Lonchura striata: one gene and its partner. The protein of the gene in region 2 purifies or fractionates together with the protein of the main gene of each other region. This does not show direct contact. Links are inferred from orthologs where the notes say so. Each region holds a gene or a part of one and is shown on either strand. Other genes may lie near its edges.

What was found.
Region 1: the proteins of ITCH (region 2) and MAVS purify together in Homo sapiens (affinity purification with western blotting; 3 studies listed by BioGRID). This does not show direct contact. The link is inferred for Lonchura striata from reciprocal best matches to the Homo sapiens genes ITCH and MAVS.

What each region holds. Positions count from the first base shown.
Region 1 is NC_134606.1:3,103,393-3,113,495, reverse strand, and holds the start of MAVS (mitochondrial antiviral-signaling protein), read right to left. Parts: upstream 4,556-10,103; 5' UTR 4,513-4,555; intron 3,954-4,512; 5' UTR 3,941-3,953; coding exon 3,824-3,940; intron 3,714-3,823; coding exon 3,533-3,713; intron 3,194-3,532; coding exon 2,976-3,193; intron 2,591-2,975; coding exon 2,017-2,590; intron 894-2,016; coding exon 739-893; intron 280-738; coding exon 1-279.
Region 2 is NC_134619.1:13,572,043-13,582,971, forward strand, and holds the start of ITCH (E3 ubiquitin-protein ligase Itchy homolog), read right to left. Parts: upstream 4,427-10,929; 5' UTR 4,330-4,426; intron 1-4,329. UniProt on the Homo sapiens protein: Acts as an Acts as an E3 ubiquitin-protein ligase which accepts ubiquitin from an E2 ubiquitin-conjugating enzyme in the form of a thioester and then directly transfers the ubiquitin to targeted substrates.

The DNA of each region.
Region 1 (10,103 bases), on a different chromosome or scaffold from region 2:
CAGGATTGGGTCACTGCTGAAGCCAAGGCTACCGGAGAGGGTGGAACAGGGGTTGCCGGGCTCCTGAGAGCTCGGGCATTTGCCAGCCACCTCTGGGCTGCCCCGAGGCATGGACATGAGGACGCCTGGCTTGTTGAGCTCCTCTTCCCTCTCCTCATCACTGTGAGGTGCCCAGATGCTCGTGGCAGAGCTCCCCCGGGAAGCTGATCTCCCAGCCATGCCTTCGGAACTGCCTACCACAGCTGTGCCCAGGACAGGGTTTGCTGAGGCCGGGAGCACCTTTAGGAAACAAGGAGAGGGGCTGGGTGTCAAAGGAAGCATCCAATGGCCTGGTTTTGGGCACACAGGTCCCACACAAACCCACTTCAACACAGTCCCACATCTGCACTAACGTTGGGTCACAGGTAACAGGGAGGTGAAGGAGAGAGGCATGCAGGAAGGAAGGGGAGCCAAGCAATGAGGAGAGCAGTGGAAAACAGCACCTGGAAGCAAGAAAACTGACTGGCAAGGTAAGGTGGGGAAATAAGGAGTCAAAGCCCAACAGAGTTTAGCTCTCTTCTCCCATGCTCCACCATACAGCGTGTGGATGGTAATGTGAACACAGCAGAGGGGAAAAAAAATCCTGGAATAAACTCATCACCAGCTCACAGTGTGACACTGCAACAGAAAGTCTCCTAATCACAGGGAGTGCACAAGGACATGAACGAAATCCAAGTGGCAAGAGAAAAGGTCACTTACTTTCTCCTTCGTTGGCACAGAGGGGGTGCTGCTGGCTGCATTCCCAATGGGCAGCTTCTTCTCTTGCGTAAGAGACTTCACCGAGGTGTCACGGGATGGGAAAGTGTCTCTGGGCACAGGGGTAGCACCCAGGGTAGTTCTTTCCATTGAAGCACCTGTCAGGGAGAAAATAAAGCATTTTGTGTTAACCAGGGGGCCTAAAAGGTGAGATTTGCTCTTCCTCGGGCAAACTGCGACAGGACAGTCCCCAAGCTGAGGGGGTGGCACAGGGAGCAGGACCCAGTGCCCTGACTCTGGCTCTGCTGCGGCACCTGAGCTTTCCCTGCAGCTGCAGGTAACTCATGCAGGGTGGGCTGCAGGGCTGGAGAGCACCAAGGCAATCAGAGGCTTTTAAGGCTCCTGAAACTCCATGGCCACCCAGCCAGGAGGTGCTGACCCCACATGGCAGAGGGGAAAGGGCTGGGAGGGCTGGATGTCTTTTTTCCCCACTCCAAGACCCTGGAGTGGAGGTCAGGGCTTTATCCTGATTCTATGATGCCCACAGGTAGGAGATGCTAAAATTCCCCCACATTCAGGATACAAAGAGCTCTGAAAACTAGGGGAAGGGGAGAAGTTTAACACCCTAAAGCTGCTCTACTGACAAAACAAAATTAAAATGCAGATGGATGAAATGATTGTTCTGGGTTCCTTCCAAATTAAATATTCTATTCAATTTCTATTCTAACCATTTCCCCAGCACTGCCAAAGCCATCATTAACCCATATCCCCAAATGCCACATCCAAATGTCTTCTGAATCTCTCCAGGGATGCTGACCATCACTGGCCTGGACGGTTTTTTCCAGTGCTTGACAACCTCTTCAAAAAGAAATTTTCCCTACTATCCAATCTAAACCTCCCGCAAAACAATTTTCCTTTCATCCTGTTGATTGTTAGCTGGGAGCAGAGCCCAATCCCCACCCTGCTCCACCCTCCTTTCAGGGAGTTGTAGAGAGTGAGAAGGTCTCCCCCGAACCTCCTTTTCTCCAGAATGAGCTCTCAGAGCTGCTCTCCACCCTCCTTTCAGGGAGTTGTAGAGAGTGAGAAGGTCTCCCCCGAACCTCCTTTTCTCCAGAATGAGCTCTCAGAGCTGCTCCTCATCAGACTTATGCTCTAGAGCCCTCCCAGTCCCATTCCCATCTCTGGATGTGTTCCAGCATCCCAGTTTCTTGCAGTGAGGGGCTCTCAGCAGCACCTCCTGCTCCCTAGTGGCTGCCAGGTTCTGCCAGGAGGGAAACCCACCTCCACTCCCTGGGTGTTCTTGCAGCATCCCAACCCGCTTCTTCTCCACATCAAACTGCTCCTGTATGAGGAGGGGGCTGCGCACATCCACGAAGCTGCCCGTGGGCTCACCATGCCCAGAGCTTGGCACAGGCTGCTTTTTTGGCACCGAGTTTGGGGGCTGCTGCCCCACACCACGAGTGGCTCCCTCCAGCCTTGGTGGTGACTCTGTGAAGATATCCGAGCTCTCTTCGGGCTCATTCCTGGCCTGCCCAGGGCTCTGAGTGGCACCTGCATCCCTCGATGGAACAGACCTGCCCAGGGCCAGGCCCGGCGTGCCGCGGTGCAGGTGGTTTGCATTCCCAAAAAATCCGTTGTCCACACACACCGGCCGGCGGCTCAGCCAGTCCCGGCCCTGCTCTGGGGACACGGCCGGTGGCACGGCCACCCCTGATGTCCCCTCTGACACCGGCACGGTCCCGGAGGGGTGCGAGAGATTCCCCTCTCCACTGTGCCCGCCGCTCACTCCGCTGTGGACTTTGCTCTCAGGTGGAACCGGCCGGGGATTCTCTTGCTCCGGGAGTTTTTTGGGGAGCTGGAAGGAAATGGGTTGTGTTAAATCACTGGGATTGAGGGGGTTCACAGCGGTGTTCTAAAGCCTGAGCAGTGACCCCTGCAAGGCTGGTTATGAATGGGGTCTGGGGTCTCTCTTTGGGACCCACCCAAGGGTCTGGGGTTGTGGAGAGAAGCCTGGATTGGTGGCAAAGCAGAGCCTGCACTGCTCCCATGGAGGGAGACATGAGAGGGAGCAGTTACAGGGCCATATATCAGCAGTAAATTACCAGATGCAGCAGAGATCAGCAGCAAGCAGCTGCTCGGGGTGGCCCTAAAGGAGCCTGGCCCTACCACAGGTTCCCAAAACCCAATGAAAAGGTCTCAAAGGGATCTTGGTGTCCCCATCCAACATGTGCCCTGCTCACCGATTCCTGCACCGGCATTCTGGCCTCCAGCTCCGTACTTGTGGTGGTGCCAGCACTGGGAAGGACAGGTGGATGGTCACCAGTGGTCAGGTCTGGGCGTAGCCGCCCAGCCGAAGGGGCAGGATTTGGCCCCTGGGATGGTGTCTGGGCACTGATGGAGGAGGCAGTGGGACGGGCATCACTGGGAAGGGAGGAGGCAGCAGCAGGAGCTGAGGAACCTGGAAGAGACAGGCAGATCATTGTGGAAAAAACTGAGGAAGCAGAGGATAAGTGCGGGGCTGAGGCAGCCCTGTGTGTGTGTCCATGCTCTGTCCCCACATCAGCCAAGCCCACAGCACCCCTTTGTTATCTTTCCATCTTCCCTCAGGTGAGAACCCCAGCCCACCACCAACCCAAGCACCTTCAAATCATCCTCAGACATGTCACACAGTGAAGGACATCCCTGGGACAGTCACACACACCTCCAGCACCCTCGGAAGCTGAAGCAGGGACAGAGATGTCATGTCCCCACCTCCAGCAGCCCACGGGGCACACCCAGGAAGGATGAGGCTACATACGAGGTCGAGGTTGCCAGGTATCATAGACTTCCTGCAGCTCATCAGCCAAGTGCCCTGCGTTATTCTGGTGAAGTGCCTGGATGAGATCCTGCACCCAGCCCTTCCGGCACCTCAAGTGCTGATAGAATCTAAAGACAGCTGCCTGGTTGCCCCGCATCTCCTCCCGGGCAAGGAGTTCATCCTAGGAAAAACACACAGGGTATCTAAGAGAGGGTCTGGCTTAGAGGTAAGATAACTCTATGCTGCCATGGGGGAAGGAGCCTGGCAGAGCTCAGGAAAATAGGAAATTACTCTGTCAGAATCGACCAGGCAGGTCAGGGAATCGGCCAGCGACGCCACTCGGATAGTGCTGAATTTCTTGAGGTTTCTCGTAATGTGGGTGTACACTTTGTCCTCAGCCAAACCCATCGTGGCTCAGCACCTGCAGGGGGACAGAGACCTCGGGTGAGCAGAGGCTGCTGGCGAGCCTCAGTGCCCTGGCACAAACACTGCCATGATGAGACGGGAAATCCTGTCGGAAACCACGCGCACAAAGTTCGCTCGGCTTTAAGTTCAACGCTCAGCTTCACTTCCACACACACCTCGCTCCTTCCCACCATAAACGCCGTGTTTATTCCCACTCTGCTTGTTTGGATTCACCCGGCGGGTTGGGCGTCACGACAAAGGAAAAACAGGCGACACGGCCAAGACAAGCGCCAGGGGCCATGGCTGGAATCCCGCATAAGCAATGTAAAAACCAAAGGGGAAGGCACAGAGCTCCTTCCACAGGGAACAGCGGCCCGCAGGCGCGCCCACACCAGGAGGGCCCCGCCGCCCTCAGCGCGACCTTCAACCCCCGGGGGATCTCCGGGAGGTTCTCCGCTCGCAGATCCCCCTGTCAGGGCGGCCGGGGGTGGCTGCCGGGGCTGTGGCGGCCGTGGGGGCCGGTGCGGTCCCGCCATCCCCCCCCGCCGCCCTCACGGCCCCTCAGGGCCCCTCACCTGCGCCCGCCGCCGCCGCGCGCCCGCCGCCGCCACGGCCCCGCCCCCTCGCGTCGCGGCCGCCGCTGATTGGCTGCGGCGCACGCCCGTCACCGTGATTGACAGGGCGTGGGGACACGTCAGGGGACTGCCCTTGTCTGCCCTGAGGGGTTCTGACCCCCAGGGGAGCTCTGACTGTGACCCTCATTCGTGGAGAAAACTTCCAAAGCCTCAAGGTAAACTAGAAACCACCAAAGTGTGAAGTAGATTGTAGAGGGTAATTTAGTATGTCACATGGGTGAGGAATTTAGGTGTTAGGATTTTTAGTGTGTTATAGATGGGTTCAAGATGGAGGATATAGGGTGTTGTCTCGAATTCCTCTCCTCTCTTCTTCCTCTTCCTTCTTGGGTTTAGGTGGTATCTTGTAATGGGGTAGAAAAATCCACATTGCGGGTCTTTAGGGGTCAGTTATTGGGTTAGAAAGGAAAATAATTTAGGTGTCACTTCTTAATTGGGCAGCTTTTGATTAGACGAGGTTGTTGGCCATTTTTGTGCTGTTTTCCAGCATGCAAGGTCTGGTGCAGACAGCGTGCTGAAGTTTTGATCAGGTAACAATAAACAGAAGATGAAGACGGAAAAAGTCCTGTGTGTCTGCTTTTGCTGACACAGAACTGCTCCAGGGAGTTGCCCAATTTGGGACCCCAAACCCACAACAGGAGCATGGACAGGTTCCCAGTCCCTCGGGACAGCGGGAGCGGAGATCCCGGAGCGTGGCCAGCCTGGGGACACTGTCCCCCTCTGCCAGGGGACACTGTGGCAGCAGGGCCTGCTGAGTCCGGAGAAGAGGAGACTCCAAAGCCATCTCACCAATCCATAAAAACATCTCCAAGCAAAGGTCACAGGATGGTGCCAGACTCTTTCCCGTGATGCCCAGCGACTGGACAAGGAATAATACAAAGATGTCTGAAAACTAGGGGAACGGGAGAAGTTTCACACCCCAAAGCTGCTCCACTGACAAAACAAAATTAAAATGAAGATGGATGATTCCATTCTCTTCCATTCTATTCTATTCTATTCTATTCTATTCTATTCTATTCTATTCTATTCTATTCTATTCTATTCCATTCCATTCCATTCCATTCCATTCCATTCCATTCCATTCCATTCCATTCCATTCTAACCATTCCCCCAGCACTGCCAAGGCCATTATTAACACATATCCCCAAATGCCACATCCAAATGGCTTCTAAATCTCTCCAGGGATGCTGACCATCACTGGCCTGGACAGCTTTTTCCAGTGCTTGAAAACCCCTTCCAAAAAGAAATTTTCCCTACAATCCAATCTAAACCTTCCATGAAACAATTTTCCCTTCATCCTGTTGTTTGTTACCTGGGGGCAGAGCCCCAGGTAGCTTCACCTCAATGTGACAAAGAACTTCTTTATGTTTTGGGTAGCAGAGCACTGGAATAACTGCCCGGGCAGGCCATGGAGTCTCCCTCTCTGGAGACCTTCCAAACCCACCTGGACACATTCCTGTGTCACCTGCTCCAGGTGACACTGCCTTGACAGGGGGTTGGACTGGATGATCTCCAGACGTCCCTTTGAACCTCAGTTTTCTGTGATTCTGGGAGCTGGAATATGGTCCTTCATGTGAGCAGTGGCACAGTTTATCCAGAAAATCCTCATCCCTGGAAGTGTCCAAGGCCACAGGTGATGGGGCTTGGAGCAACCTGGGATAGCGGAAAGTTGTCCCGGCCCATGGTAGGGTGTGGAACGAGATGGTCTTTAAGGTCCCTTCCCACCCAAACCATTCTGTGATTATAATTAATTGAATCCAGCTTTTCTCATTCTAAGTCATAAAAATCGATCATATTTCTGGGTTGTTTCTATAATTAAGAAGAGATCAGTATAATGATAAAATTTACCACATGAAAAAAAAGCCACTCAGTAATTCGTGTTCACAGAGTTGCAGAATTGTACAATCATAATCATAGAATCGCAGAATGGTACAATCATAATCATAGAATCGCAGAATGTTAAAGGTTTGGAAGTGACTTTAATCATCCCAAGCTGAGTGCCATGGGTACAGACAACCCCCATTAGACCAGGTTGCTCAAGGCCTTATCCCACCTGGGTTTAAAAATTTGCAGCCTTGGGGCAACCACAAATTCTCTGGGCAACCTGTTCCTGTTCTCGCCGCGGTCACAGCAATATTAGTGGATATAATAATATCCAATATAAATAATATAAATTCCTCCTGTTTCAACTCGTACACGTTACTCCTTGTTCTGTCTCCGCACCTCCTTCCTAAGAGTCTCTCTCCGTCATTCCCGTAGTATCCCACCAAAGCTTTTCCTTTGTCATTAATTCCCTAATGAACAGTCAATAGTTAATTAATTTCCCACTCCGGAATTTTGGGAAGCGGAATCGGGAGCTGAAGAGCGGAGGAGCGGGGGCGAAGGCGCAGCGCCGCCTCCGCGCCACCAGGGGGCGGCACCACCCCGCGCCCGGGGCCCGCCTGGCCACGCCCATGGCCACGCCCCGGCCACGCCCCCGGCCCGGAGCCGCGCGATGGCGGCGGCAGCGGGCGGGCGGCGGCGGCGGCGCCGCTGAGCGCCGGGAGAGCCCCGAGGGGCGGCGGGGGCTTCCCGCACCCCTTCCCCTTCCCTCATATCCCCCTCCCCTTCTCCCCCGGCCCCCCCCACCCCGCGCCCTCCCCGCGCGGCGCCGTCCATGGTGACGGGCGGCCGAGGCGGCCTCGCAGCGGAGCCGTTCGGGCGGGAGGCGGCGAGGGAGCGGCGGGCGCAGGTGAGCGGGGACGGGGTCGCGGGGAGCGCCGGGGGGGCGCACCGGGTTGTTGTGGGGGCCCGGGGGTGGCGGAAGGGGCGGGGGGCGCGACCCACGCGCGTCCGTGGAGGTGGGTCGCCCCCACCCTGCCCACGCTGAAGTGGGGGGTTAGCGTCTGTATTTTTGGGGGTGTATCTGGCAGGGAGAATGGTGATTTCTACGAGTGATCGCGGGCTGGGGCTCTTGGGTTTGCTGCCTTGGAGCGAGTCCAGACGAGGCCACCAAGTTGATGGGAGGGATGCAGCACCTCTCCGGCGAGGAAAGGCTGGGAGAATTGGGATTGTCCAGCCTGGAGGAGAGAGGGGTCCGGGGACACCTAATGGGGGCCTCTCAGTAGTCGAAGGGAGCCCGCAAGAAAAATGGAGAGAGACTTTTTACAAGAGTCTGGGGTGACAGGATAAGAGGGAATAGCTGCACACTGAAAGAGAGTATGGTTAGATTAGATATTAGGAAGAAATTCTTCCCTAGGCAAGTGGTGAGGCCCTGGCACAGGTTGCTCAGAGAAGCTGTGGCTGCCACTGGATCCCTGGAAGTGTTTAATGCCAGGTTGGATGGGGCTCTGAGCAACCTGAGCTAGTGGAAGGTGTCCCTGCCCGCGGCAGGGGATGGAACAAGATGAGCTTTAAGGTCCCTTCCCACCCAAACCATTCCATGATTCTGTGAACTTGCACCTGTGGGTCTGCAGTGACCCACGGGGTTGGGTACGGAAGTCCAAGCTGAGGACACCCATCCAAGACCCAAAAAACATCTGCAGGGCAGGGCCACCATGGCCACCATCTCCTGCCACCACCCACCACCACCCTGCTGCAGGATGGCCAGGCTCCCTGGACACCTCCACTCAGGACTCTGGGGCTTCTACTCCTGACCCACGGTCAGACCATGTCCCCCTTGGCAAATCCAGGCCATGCCAGTGGCCAAAAGCTTCTTTTGGGACCGATATTCCAGCTTGGGGGCTTGTGTCCTGGCTGCCCCCTGGGCCATCCCTCTCAGAGATGCTCCAGGCTGTAGCACTGGAAGGGACACCATCTTTGCTGTGGGGTCTGAGGGTTCTGTCCTTCCTTCAGAGCTCTGTCCCCTTCTCCCTGGCTCTTTCTGCTCCTCAAAGGGTGTGTCCCCTCCTCGCATCCCAAACGGGAATCCCAAACGGGAATGTCAGTGCTGCCCCTCTCCAAGCTCTCCCACGCTCGGCTAGCTGCATCCTCCCTCCTCGGCCAGCACTTGCTTGTTTCTGATCTTGGATGTCATCGAGGGTGGAAAATGTGACAGGAAGGAAGGGAGGCTTTTTTTCCTCTCCTGCTAAATATGGACTGACATTAAAAATCCAAATACTGTCGCGAAAGGAATCCCAAACTCTGTTTGTCGAGGGAGAGAAAACGATGGTTTCTGCCTTTTCGGTTCCAGCTGGGAAGTTTCGCAAGGAGTGGTGGAGTCCTTGCCGGGAGCCTCAGGAATTTACTGAGCTTGTTCACAGGACGCTCTCCCAGCGTCTTATGCTAAAAAAAAATTAGTCATCCCTTCTCTGCCTGCTCGTGGCTGGGGGGAGCTTGCTGTGAGCATGCAGGATGCTTGGAAATATTTAAGGATTTCTTCCTCCTGTACAAGGAGTTCTAGAAACGACAGGAAATAAAACTGCGGCCCCAACAGGAGTTTTTCATCTTTATTTTAATTCCTGTTGCTGCAGCAGCCAGTGGCAGGGAGGGGAAGGATGTGCTCAGGGGTGGGGGCTGCAGCCAGGTTTGCAGAGAGGATTTGTCTGTGTCTGTCAAGCATCAGATGCAAACTCACGCTGTTATTGCCAGAGAAATTGGGAAACAGGCTTGGTGTGGAGCTCTGGGGGGAGAAATGGGATCACAGGGATGATCATGGCACTGCCAGCTCTCTGATGGCTTCTGCTGTGGCTGGGTGAAGAGCCAGGATGCTTTTTGGGGAACAGGGACCACAGCTCCCCTAGGCCCTGGGGGTGCTGGGGAGACAGAGACTCAGTTTTTGTGCTGGGCAGAAAGTGGGCACTGCCACCTTCTCATTCCATGTGTTTCTTTTCATCCCTGTTGGAGAGTTTCTTGGGGGAGTGCCTGTGGGAAGCTCCAGGGTTTTTGCCTGATCTTTATTAAAGCAGTTGGTTAAAGCAACTGGTTGGTTACAGCTGGCTGAAGGTGGTGGAGTCATCGTCCCTGGAGGTGTTGAAGGAATGTGGCACTCAGTGCTCTGCTCTGGTGGCAAGGTGGGGATTGGTCACAGCTTGGACTTGTGAGGTGATGATCTTGGAAGTCTTTTCCAACCTAAATGACTCTGGGATTCTGTGAAAGCAGTGGAGGATCCTGGGGGGTGCTGGAATAGATATTTCCCATTTCCAGGCTGCTGGTGCTGCTGTGTTGTTCCCAGACTAAGGAGACACAGCCCTGCCTTCTTGAAACATCCCTCACTAATAACTGCATCTCTGTGCTGCTCCGTGACACTGCTCCATGTCCAACATCAATATCCCCGTGGAGGAGCAGCTTGAATTCTCCCTCTCCCTGTCTCCTCCTGCTGCCAGCCTACATCTGTTCTGCTCCAAGCCTCTGTGTTTCCAGCAGGGTGGTGGATCCCAATCCAGAGGCTGTGCGACCTCTGCTGTGCTTGGCTGAGCCAGTGTCACTGTTGTGGTCTGTGTGATGCCTCAAAACACTGGGGAGCATGGTGTGGGGGATATTTTCTGTGGAGCAGAGCACCTGTAGTGCTGCCATGGGGTCAGGAGTGGCACCAGCTGCTGCCTGGTCCTCCCCTC
Region 2 (10,929 bases):
GATCACCTAGGAAGTTTTAATCTGAATAGACAGGAAAGGGTGTTGAGGTAAAATCTGGTGAAAATATGCAGCTCACCTCTTTCACAGAAGTTAGGAAGCCTGGTTAAAGATTAGACCAAATACATTACCATTTTACGAACATTTTTGTATATTGATCAACACATTTCTTATGTAGTCTCTGAAATTATATACTTACAGCAGTAGGAAATACACATGTACATATAGAAGGCACATACACTTGTAGACACAAGCCTTATTAAGAGAAATTAGAGTGATCCACAGATCACTTAATTCAGGCTCTGACAAGCCAAATTAAAAAAAAAAACAACTTTAAAGATGAGGAATCCTTATACAGAACAAACTTGCTCCATCTATCTGTTCTGCAAATAAATGAAAAGAGCAGCACTGACAGAGCAAAAACCTCAGGGTATCAGAAAAGTAGAAGAGGAGTGTTCAGAACAACAAGTCTTAATACATTCAAATGTTTATGAAGACAGCAGTGAATAAAATAAAAATCTGGATAGTTGAGCATTCTAACTGTTAAGCAAGACTAGTGATTATTAATACATAATTAAACATTAGCTAGCACTGGTGACTGGGGAGGCACTAAGCATGGATACTGACCAAAAGCATGTTAAAAATAAACACAACCCACTCTTCTGTGTCTCAGTCCATCTCTTCAGCTTGCCCAACATTGAGCCTTCCTTCACTTTTTCCATTGAATGAGGCAAAGCTAAAAAGGGTAGTAAGTTATGAATGACTTGCTCAGGCAAAAGTTCCATACTAATCACATGAAACTGAAGGTATCAAAGAGCCTATTTTATTTTTCTAAAAATTAACATGCTTCCAGTCACAAGTTTTATATTCATGATGGATATTTTGCTGCAAATGGCTATTTGATTAATTACTTAATAAATCAGAAGCAGATTGCAGACCTGTCTTTTTCTGTTTCAATATCACTTTAATCTTTTACCTGATCTTTCTTTTCCTTAGTAATAAACTTCAAAAAGATTACTAGGTACCCAGCTAATACTTAGAAGGAAAAATATGAGTAAAGGCTACCACTGAAAGAAAAATTGACCTATAAAAAAATGGAAAACTGAGAACATGAAAATTTTATACTGGCTGATAGCAACACACTCCTCTTGAAAGCTCCAGCTTCTGTATCATGGGCTACCAAATCTAGAACCCGAGACCTGCACATTTCAGGTAAAGGTCACCTAATTTCCACTTCCTGATTAGAAACAAAGTTCCACACAATCAAATTGGAACAATCCACCTGAAGAGACTTTTCTTGCTGAGCAACAACACCATTTGAGTCTGAGCTCCAGCTTCAGAACCAATGATGTAAATACAAACATGACAGGAGTTCTGTGCCTGACTGAAACAATAGGCCTCTCCCAGCAGCAGAGTTGAGAATAGCTCAGGCGGGTGGGTGGAAGGCAGAAACTATCCGTTCCTAAACAGGAGGAGTAAAATAAAACTTTTTTTTAATAACAGCAACGTGCTGCCAAGTTTGAAAAACTATTTGAATAACCAGCACAACAAGATGTGGTATCATGTTTCCTCAGAGGGGAGAAAAAAACCCTGCTGTGCTTTGGTATAGTAAAAGCAGAAATTCCAGGCATAACTTGAGAGCTGGTCTTTTGAAACAGGGCCTTGGCTTCTTCAAAACACTCTTTTCCAGTTTGCTGCAATACTTTCATTTCTATTATGTGTAATTTGCAATTCTCATGAAGAAAAATTATCAATCCTTCAGCTCCAGCAACTCTGCACTACAGTGTAACCTAAATGTCATCAACTTAGAGACTCTAATTGACCAAGTCTCTGTTGCTTTAGTCTTCAGAGAGAAGACTCTCACCAAAATGTGCACACAGATTTAGCTCAGCTAACAGTACAACCAAGCCAAAGAAGGACTGCCTACAGTCTTTAAAAATACTCAAGTTATGAGACAGTAAAACTAAATTTCCAGAATACTCCCAAGCTAGACTATAATCATGACTTGTCTACGTCCTCTTCTGAGGAAAGCACTCACTTCAAAATGCTTCTGCAGCTGGGCAAAGTACAGTTACAGTAAGGAGCTGTGGCCAACACTCCTCTGGGTTATGCACACACCTTCACTTTCCTCAGCTGTGAGGGCACAAAGAAGTTCCTGCAATTACATGTAAGTACAGTAGAATGATAAAAACTAGAACATTACACAAACATAAGCGGACACCCAAAGAGAAAAGCTTAAAAATAAACTCCCAGAAGCTTAATTGTTTCCATGTGCAAGGGCTTTTTCTGTTACTCTCACCCTGCAGACTCTTTTCCTTGCTTTTAAGAAGAAATCAAATTGGTTTTACTGCTTGAAAAGTACTTCACTATGGCTGAATATATTTATCACTTTGTTTAAACAGCTTAAACTCACAAAATATGTTTATTTAGACACTATAATTGACTGATACTGATAATGCTGCTGCCAAGCATCTCTTTCACATGTTGTAAAATAGAAGGAAATTACTTTGTAAATCTCTCATGAAACATTTTTCAAGCAGTCTATGACAAGCTCTCTTAAAAAAAAATTATAAATTTAATCTCCTCAAGACAAACACTATGCTACTTTACTGCCTTTCTTCCTATTACCTTATGCTGTAGTTTTCCCCAAACCATTTTGAAACTTTAAAACAAAGAAATAAGGTAATTCATGTTTCAGGTCTGTGTCACAACACAAGAAATATAACTTTAAGAAGGGAGAGAAAACTGATGGAAGAAAAAGAGGTGATGCTGCTTAATTAATAAATTAATATAAATAATCTCCTCTCAATTTCTCTTAAGCCCCAAAATAACTTTAATCTGTAAGAAGCTTTTAAAGTTAGCACTCAGAAGTCTCAGTTATTTTCCATTCCAAAATTATCTTTCACATCTACTGTTGTTGTTTCAAAGACAAGAAAACTCACTTTGGGTCTGAATGCTACATATTATTCCAAAGATCATTTGGAGGTGAATGGATTCAGTATAGTGATTAAATGCCACCTAAATCACAACTAAGAATGCACACTAGTCACAGTCCAGACTTAAACAGCTGTAGTGAATAGCAAGGTAATTGTAATTAAATTACAACTGCTTTGGACTTTCACTTCAAGAAAACAGGAAAGAATTTACTGTTTTTTCCAACAATACATTTTTAAGCATTAAAAGATGAACCTTAGATGGCCTGTGATTCATGTTTCATTCTTAAACACCTGTGCCTTTTCTCAGGTAAATACAAGCAATTGCTGAATCTACTGTCACTCCCTCAGCAGAGAATGCCTTCTTTCAAATACCAGTCCAAATGTCTCTCCACTTCTCTTTGGAAAGGTTGACAGGCAGGGTAACAGAGACTAAACAAAACATTGAGAAACTCATGGCAATAAGCAGCCATATATTGGGAAAAGACAGTCTAAAATATCCCGGTTTCTGACTTCTTCAATTCTAACTAGGCTATAAAGGTAAGTTTTGCCAGGGATATTTCCTGAAGCATCAAGGGATAAGGCTGCCACAACACAGGTATCCCAAAAGCTACACCTGCCCCTTTCTCTGCATCACACACAGATCAGAAGGTCTTCTGACAATTTAACATCACAAATTATAGCAATTAAAACAAGCTGAATTCTCTAATATTAGAGCAAATTAGAGAAATCCATCCTCGAACACCTTTGTCTGCTTTTATCTCGACAGCATTGGCACACAAGGTCAAAGATAACCGGCGTGGCAGCGGAAGAGTTAACAGCCAGAACTTGTCCGCGTTTCCAAAATAGAGCGGTGGCACTAACGTTGCCATTCTGCCGTGTTTACAAGAGGGAACACAGTTCGGGATAAACCTCTGGCTGTAGTCACGCTTTATCGCCAGGACACATTCCTCCAATGTCCGGCTTACCCGGCCGAGATAAAGACACGGAACGCCCGGACACCTGGAAGAAGCCCCGCGACAGGGGGGACGCACACCGGGGAAGGAGGCTGTGCTGGAAGAGCTGCGGAAAGCACAGCCCTGAACGGAGCGAGCCTCCGGAAAGGATTCGGAACTGGAGGCACCGGGGTGCGGGCAGGTGCCCCCGGCAGCCGCGGCCGGGCGGTGGGGCAGACAGCGCGGGGGTCCCGGCAGGGCGCTGCGCCGCCCCGCGCCGGGCGCTGCCCCGCGGGGCCCGGGCACAGAGCGGCGGGTCCGCCCTCAGCGAGCCCCTCCCGGGCCGAGCGGCCCCTCCGGATCCGGGCCCGACCGCGGTGTCCCCGCGTCCCCCGTGTCTCCCCGCCGCGTCCCGTCACCAGCGCTACCCCCGTGCCTCCACCTCCCGGCCCCGCTCCGCTCACCGGCCGCGGCTCCCCCGTCCCTCAGGTCCAAGATGGCAGCGCGGCCCGCCCGGCCTCCGGCAGCGACTTAGCAAAGTCGGGCGCGATGTGCGCAGGCGCCGAGTCCCCCGGCTGCTGCGCAAGGACTACAACTCCCACCGTGCCCTGCGCCATGCATTGCGCATGCTCGGCGCGGGCCACAGGGAGTGACCGGCAGGGACCGTGAGGGACAATGAGAGGCCGTGAAATTCACGGCGACGAGTAGAATTCCATATCCTCTGGAGCCAGCCTGGGAGGGCTGGAGGTGTTCATCCGGGGAAGAGAAAGCTCCAGGGAAAACTCAGAGCGCCTTCTGAGTGCCGGAAGGGGCTTCGAGGGAGCTGGAGAGGGATTTTGAATAAGGGGAGTGACAGGACAAGGGACAATGGCTTCTGTTATAAATGAGAATTTATTCAGCCAGATTAAAAATAAAAATCATTTTATTTGCGGTCAAATTCTATTTAGTCAGCCACACGGAAAGGACAGAGCCGAGCCCGGGATCGACCCTGGATGTGCAACAAGGAGTCAGCCTCAGCAGAGGTTTTCCCCTATGCCCACACACTTCCATCCTGGCACAGGCGGTTTTTATAGGGAAAATTCCACCTGAGGCCAAGATTTGAGCAGTTAGTCTTTTCTTCTATTCAGAGTCTATAGGTTTTCTTTTTTTTGGTGATGAGGAGAAATAATTCAATGTCCAGAGTAGTTGAATTCTTGATGAGAGTTTACGGGAAGGCTGCATTCACATGAATCTGTCTGAGGATTTCCATGATATCCATCTTGGACGATCAGCACTGATGATAGTGATGATCAACACCTGGAGCCCAGACATGGCCCATCTCCTGGCCGAGCCACATCCTTTTACTGGTAAATCAGTTTCCAATATACACCCAGTCTGGCCTGCAAAGGGGGGGCGGGGGGGAGCTAATACAACGGGCATGATTTAACAAATATCCAATATTACATATTTCATACGAGGAATGGTGCGAATTATATTTATTACACATAACAGCTTCCCACTGCCGAAGGTCAGGTTTAGATGGAATATTGAGAAGAAATTCTTCGCTGTGAGGATGCTGAAGTCCTGGCACAGGGTGCTCAGAGGAGCTGTGGCTGGAAGTGTCCAAGGCACTGTTGGACAGGGCTTGGAGCAGCCTTGGACAGTGGAAGGTGTCCCTGCCCATGGCAGGGGTGGAAGATCCGGTGCCTCCAGTTCCGAATCCTTTCTGGAGGATCGCCCAAATCATTCCATGAATCTATGATTCCGTAAACAGAGTGTATATGTATGTGTGTGTATATTTTACTACAGTAAAAATCTTGGATAATCAAAGCACCCCTGAGGGCTTGGCTGGTACAGGAACACCTTGAGGAACCCATGGCCATCACTGGCCCTACGTTTCTGCAGTGACACCAGTAATGGGAAATCTCTGAGACCACAAAGGGACATCCTGCAAGCATGAGTCTATAACAGTCAAGCAACTGGGACATCACTGCTGTCACTGTGGGCATTGGGACACAAAACAAAGCCCTTTGAAAATAAAGTAACATTTGTGATTTTAAAGTGTCTGCTTCAGGTGCTTAAACCATTGATATTATTTAGCCTTACATAAAATCCTTCTTGTTTCAAGTGTATTTTTTCTTAGCCTGAACGCACTATTGCATAAGTGAATGCATAGAAATTACAATACACTTCCTCTTTTGACAGTGAGGAATGAGAGAGTCTATGTTCTGAAATCAGAGGAAAGAATATCCAGTCTTCAGAGAGTAGGAGAATATCCTCAATAATTCTTCAGAAAAATTATGCACTTTGCCAGTGCAAAGTTTAGCATTTTCTTAAAACTGGTAGGATGTGAAAATCCATCTTGTCTTCCACACATAAACTCCAATAATATCTCACAGCCACAATTAAGTGACTGCTTCTGTTGATAAGGCCTAAGCACAAAAACGTCTCGAACTGTTTCCCTGACAGACCAACACGTGTTTTGATGCCAATCAGCCATCTATGGTTCTGACTGGCCAAGGTACATGTGCACATCACTTCAGGCACAGAAATCACTTTAATTCCAGCACAGAACAATGTGTGCTGCTCAGCTAGAGGCTGAGTATGGAAAAATCAGGAGCATTGCGGCTTTGTCAGAGGTGGGAATTCATGGGAAGCAAGTTTGGAGCCAAGGTTACAGCCCAGTATAATGATAAGCAAATTGATCAGCTGAAATAAGGACTAGATTTTTGTATTTTCTCTAAACCTTTTCTATGCATCTTTAAGTCTCTATGTTCCTTTAGAGATATTTGACCATGTAGACATACATTTAAAGTTCCATAGTTAATGTTCTGTTCAAATTAATAATGATAAAAATGAGTTCTAAAAGCCTTGCTTAACAGAGATTTCTGTCTCATGCATCACCTACATAAACAGTGGTCTCTCATCCAGTTCCTGTCCTGGCCAGTGACACTCTGGCTGACTGCAGCTGGAGTTCCAAAGCTGGGCATCCTTTGTGGTGGGTTTGTTGTCTCCCAGCTGGCACATAACTCTGGTTTTGCAGATTGCCTGTGGTTTGATTCCCAATGGTGGGACCATTGCACTGTACCTTTCTCTCCAGCCGCCTGGGTTAATTTTTCCTTTAGCAGAATTGAGTGTTTGCAGGAAGAAGCCGGATGCTGCCCCAAGGACACATCCCTGTAGCCCCTGTAGGATCCAGCAGGGGTGCATGTACCCATCCCCAGGGCAGTGTGACCATTTGCAGTTTCTTTTTGTTGTACTTGGTTTTGGTAGGTGAAGGTTGCTAAAGCAGGTATGAATAACACTCAGTGTCTGTTTTTAAGAACATCACATCAGTTGTCCTCTGAGTTACTATCTTCCCCCTCCTTTTCCAACTGGCATTTCAGATAAAGTTCTTTTTTTCAACCTCGGCAGCCCTACTCTCTTTGTTTTCCAGCTTCTGATGCCCCCAGTTAAGTTCCATTTGTTCCATCTGCTCTGTAAAATTCATGAGAAAAAGACTGTATTCCAGATGCAGACTACTGATCAGTTTGTGCTTTCCAGGACAAGAGGAATGCAGAGCAATTGTCACATTCACACTGTTTCAGATATCATTTGCCTGAGTAAAAATCATGGCCTGTGAATCAGTGAACTGGAAGACCAAATAAATAATTACCACAGAATACGTGGTGAATGAAGATGAATATAATTGGGTGGCAGAAAAACTATGTATCCAAGATTTACCTTTGGGGAGAAGAGTATAATGCTTCATTATTGTCTTTTTTCCCCCTATGCTTTTTATAACTACAAGATACTCAGGCAGGATGGAATTTTCTTGCTATTACTGTCATAGCTTTCTTTTGACAAGTACAAACCCCAACAGATAGGGAACCTTCCTGGAGGATGATCTTGTGCAAAGGCTTGTCAGGAAAACTGAATGCTTAGTAGCTTTCCACACTTGCTGGGTTTGATATGGTGAAGCTGTGCTTCTGGGAGATAATTTCTGAGAAATAATATTTAATAATTTTCATAATATTTTTCTTTTATTTCTCAGTCCAGTCCAGACTGGTCAATGGGATTTGTACTTGTGGCAAAATATGTGTAGTGTTTATTCTTTGTTGGGCTATTGTAAATAATAATATTCACATCTCTAATGGAAACTTACCCTGTTGTAAGAGAACTGCCACACTCACTGAGTGCTGTTCGTGCTGAGAGCTGACTGGGAAGCCACTGAGGATAAGGGTCTGTGTGGCAGAGTGGTGTAAATGATTTCCATGTTTGAACCTTTTGTGTAATAATAAAAATAAAATTGTGTAATAATTGTGTAATAATAAAAATAATTTGTGTAATAATAAAAATAAAAAATGCAAGATCATTAAAATATTGGGATTCTGTTTGATTTTTGAGCAGAAGTCTAAATGGACATTGCTTTCTGATACCTGTGGGCCTTAGGTTCCTTCAGCTAAAGGGCTGGGACAAGGCTGTGTAACAGAAGCACTGAACATTCTTATTATTCTCCTATCCCTAGAGTACAGGATTCCCTCTCCTAAAACAGACCCCACCTTCATTCCCTTTGTTTTCCACTCAGCCAACTCTATTGACCTCACACAAGACAAACCTCTTCTTTCCAATGTTACATATTTTCCTAAGGGTTGCACAGCAAGTCTCTTGTCAAACTTGGAAACAGGGCTGGGTTTCTTAGCTCCTTTACAAATGTTTAATGATTTTTTAGTTAAGTGGTATGAGGGTTTTTGTTGTTGTTGTTTTGGTTTGGTTTGGTTTTTGTGTGAGGCACACAAAAATCCTGACAGAATCACTTAAATACAAAATAATTCAGGTAGGAAGGAAGCTTTGGAGGCCTCTAGATCCATCCCATGCTTGAACCAGAACCAACTTAGATAATGCAGAATAGGTCAGAGATAAATACCTTCAAGGCTGGAGATCGCACAGCCCCTTTGTGCCCTAGTCCAGTGTATGATGCCCCTTAGTCCATTTTATTTCCTTATATTTGTGATTTCACAGCTCTGCAAAGAGTATAGCTTATCCTCCTCACACCTTCCCAGCAGGCAGTTTTAGGCAGCTGTAAAGCATCCCTTTGCCTTCTCTTCTCCAGGCTGAACAAATTCAGCTCTCTCAGCAGCTGCTCATGGGTGAAAAGTGCATATTATATGATTGGCTCATTGCAAAGGAATACTATATGTGTTATGTTGTATTAATTACTGTGTTAACCTTTTTTAAATAGTGCGGTAGATATAGTTTTAGGTTATAAAATAATGTTAAAATAGAAGCTTTGTGATGTAAGATTTTTTTTTAACTAGCTCAAGAAAGGGATGAGATAATCAAGAAATTATTTGCACAGAGATAACAGCAACAAGACACCTAAAGAGTTACTGCCTCCTTATCAGAAAAGACAAACATTCCTCCACCTCCTCTTCTGCTTTAAGCTTTAAGGAGCCATCAGGATTAAGGGGAAGAAGTTGATAATAATCAGAGAATACCTTTTGTTTGAAAAGAATTTATGCATCATGTATGAATATATGAATATGCAACAGGCTACTGCTTTTAAGGGTTAATCCTTTGTTAGCATGTGTACTTTCAGGGCTAAATTGCCCTAGGAAGGCACCTGGATTGTCCATATTTCTTTGGTTTTTATTGTCCTAACTCTGATTGTCCAAATTCTTATTATTTTTATAGCCATTTTATTACTATTAAACTTTAAAATTTTAAAACAAGTGATTGGCATTTTTCACATCATGTGTCCTGTGCTCCATGCCTGATAGCTTGGTGGTCTCCTCTGGCCTCTGGTTCATCAGCACCTATATAGGACAGGCACCAGGGAGCTTGGGCTGGTCCCAGCACCCACAGGTGAGTTTTTACCATTGCAGAGTAAAAGGTGAGGTTCCTCACCCTGCTGGCTGCACTCTTGGTGACAAGCCCTTCTGAATGTCCTTCTTTGTCACAGGCCGCTCAGTTGGGGTCCTACTCAACTTACTGGGAGCACAGCACCTCTTCCACCAAACCCCATGTCTTGCTGAATTTGAGTTACTCCCTCCTAGAACCAGAACTACCTTTGACCACCTTTATTTGTCTGCTGAATTTCCTAAGGGTTTTTCCCACCCTACTGTAGGACCTCAGTCCCTATTGCTGATTAACTTGGCAACATGAAGCTGGTCCCTTTACTGGGAAGACCAGAATGAGTATATCTCCATGGAGGCAGTTTTGCTAGTGTGGATGTTTGTTTACCTGTTTTTGGGATAGACACAGCCCCAAGCAAGTATCTCACAATGACTGTGGAACAGTCATCAGGTGTCATCAGCACCCATTAGTGCCTAAGCAATTGTCAGTCTTTTAACTATGGCTTAATGCTGCTGTCTGACTTAAGGCTGTGTAAAGCTGGTGATTTATAAATGCAGGAGTACTTTGTTTTCACATCATTTTTCTGTACTGGTGTTAAAAGCACTTTGTAAGTACCATAATGTCAATCTTGTTATTCTTCTGGAGCATTTTGTTAGTTGGGTAATTATTGCAGGAAGTGCTTTGTATTTTAAGATCTGACTTCTTGAAATTGTCACCCCTAGAAGGAGAAACTTTGTTCAGCTGCCTTGTAAGGAGAGTCTGAATTCATTTCACTCATGAAGATAATGGTGAAGTGTCAGAGTGTATCTATTTCTAATTGACTTTAAAATCAGAATTGATTAATTTGATTTAGGATTTAGAAAAATAGCAGTAGGAAAACATAGATTACTTCCTGTTATCTGCAGAGGGGAATAATGAACCCTTCAGGTTGGTGAGAAACTATTATTATTTCCAAGTAACCTAATTAAAGGGTATAAAAAAGAAATGTGGCTATTTAATTAAGTGTTTTATTACTGAATTGCTCTACAGTGCATAATCAGAGAAGTGGGAGGGAGTGATTAGGTGTCTTGAGAACGGAAATGACACAACCAAGATATGCAGATGTTTTAAAGGAAGGAGAAGCTACTGGGATAATTGAACCTATCTTACCCATGCAAAAGACTGAAGATTATTTTTCCCTGTGAGTGAAGAACATAACACTGTAAATGTGCTGCAGGGTTTTCAGAAGCAAACATGAGATGTTGGTGCTG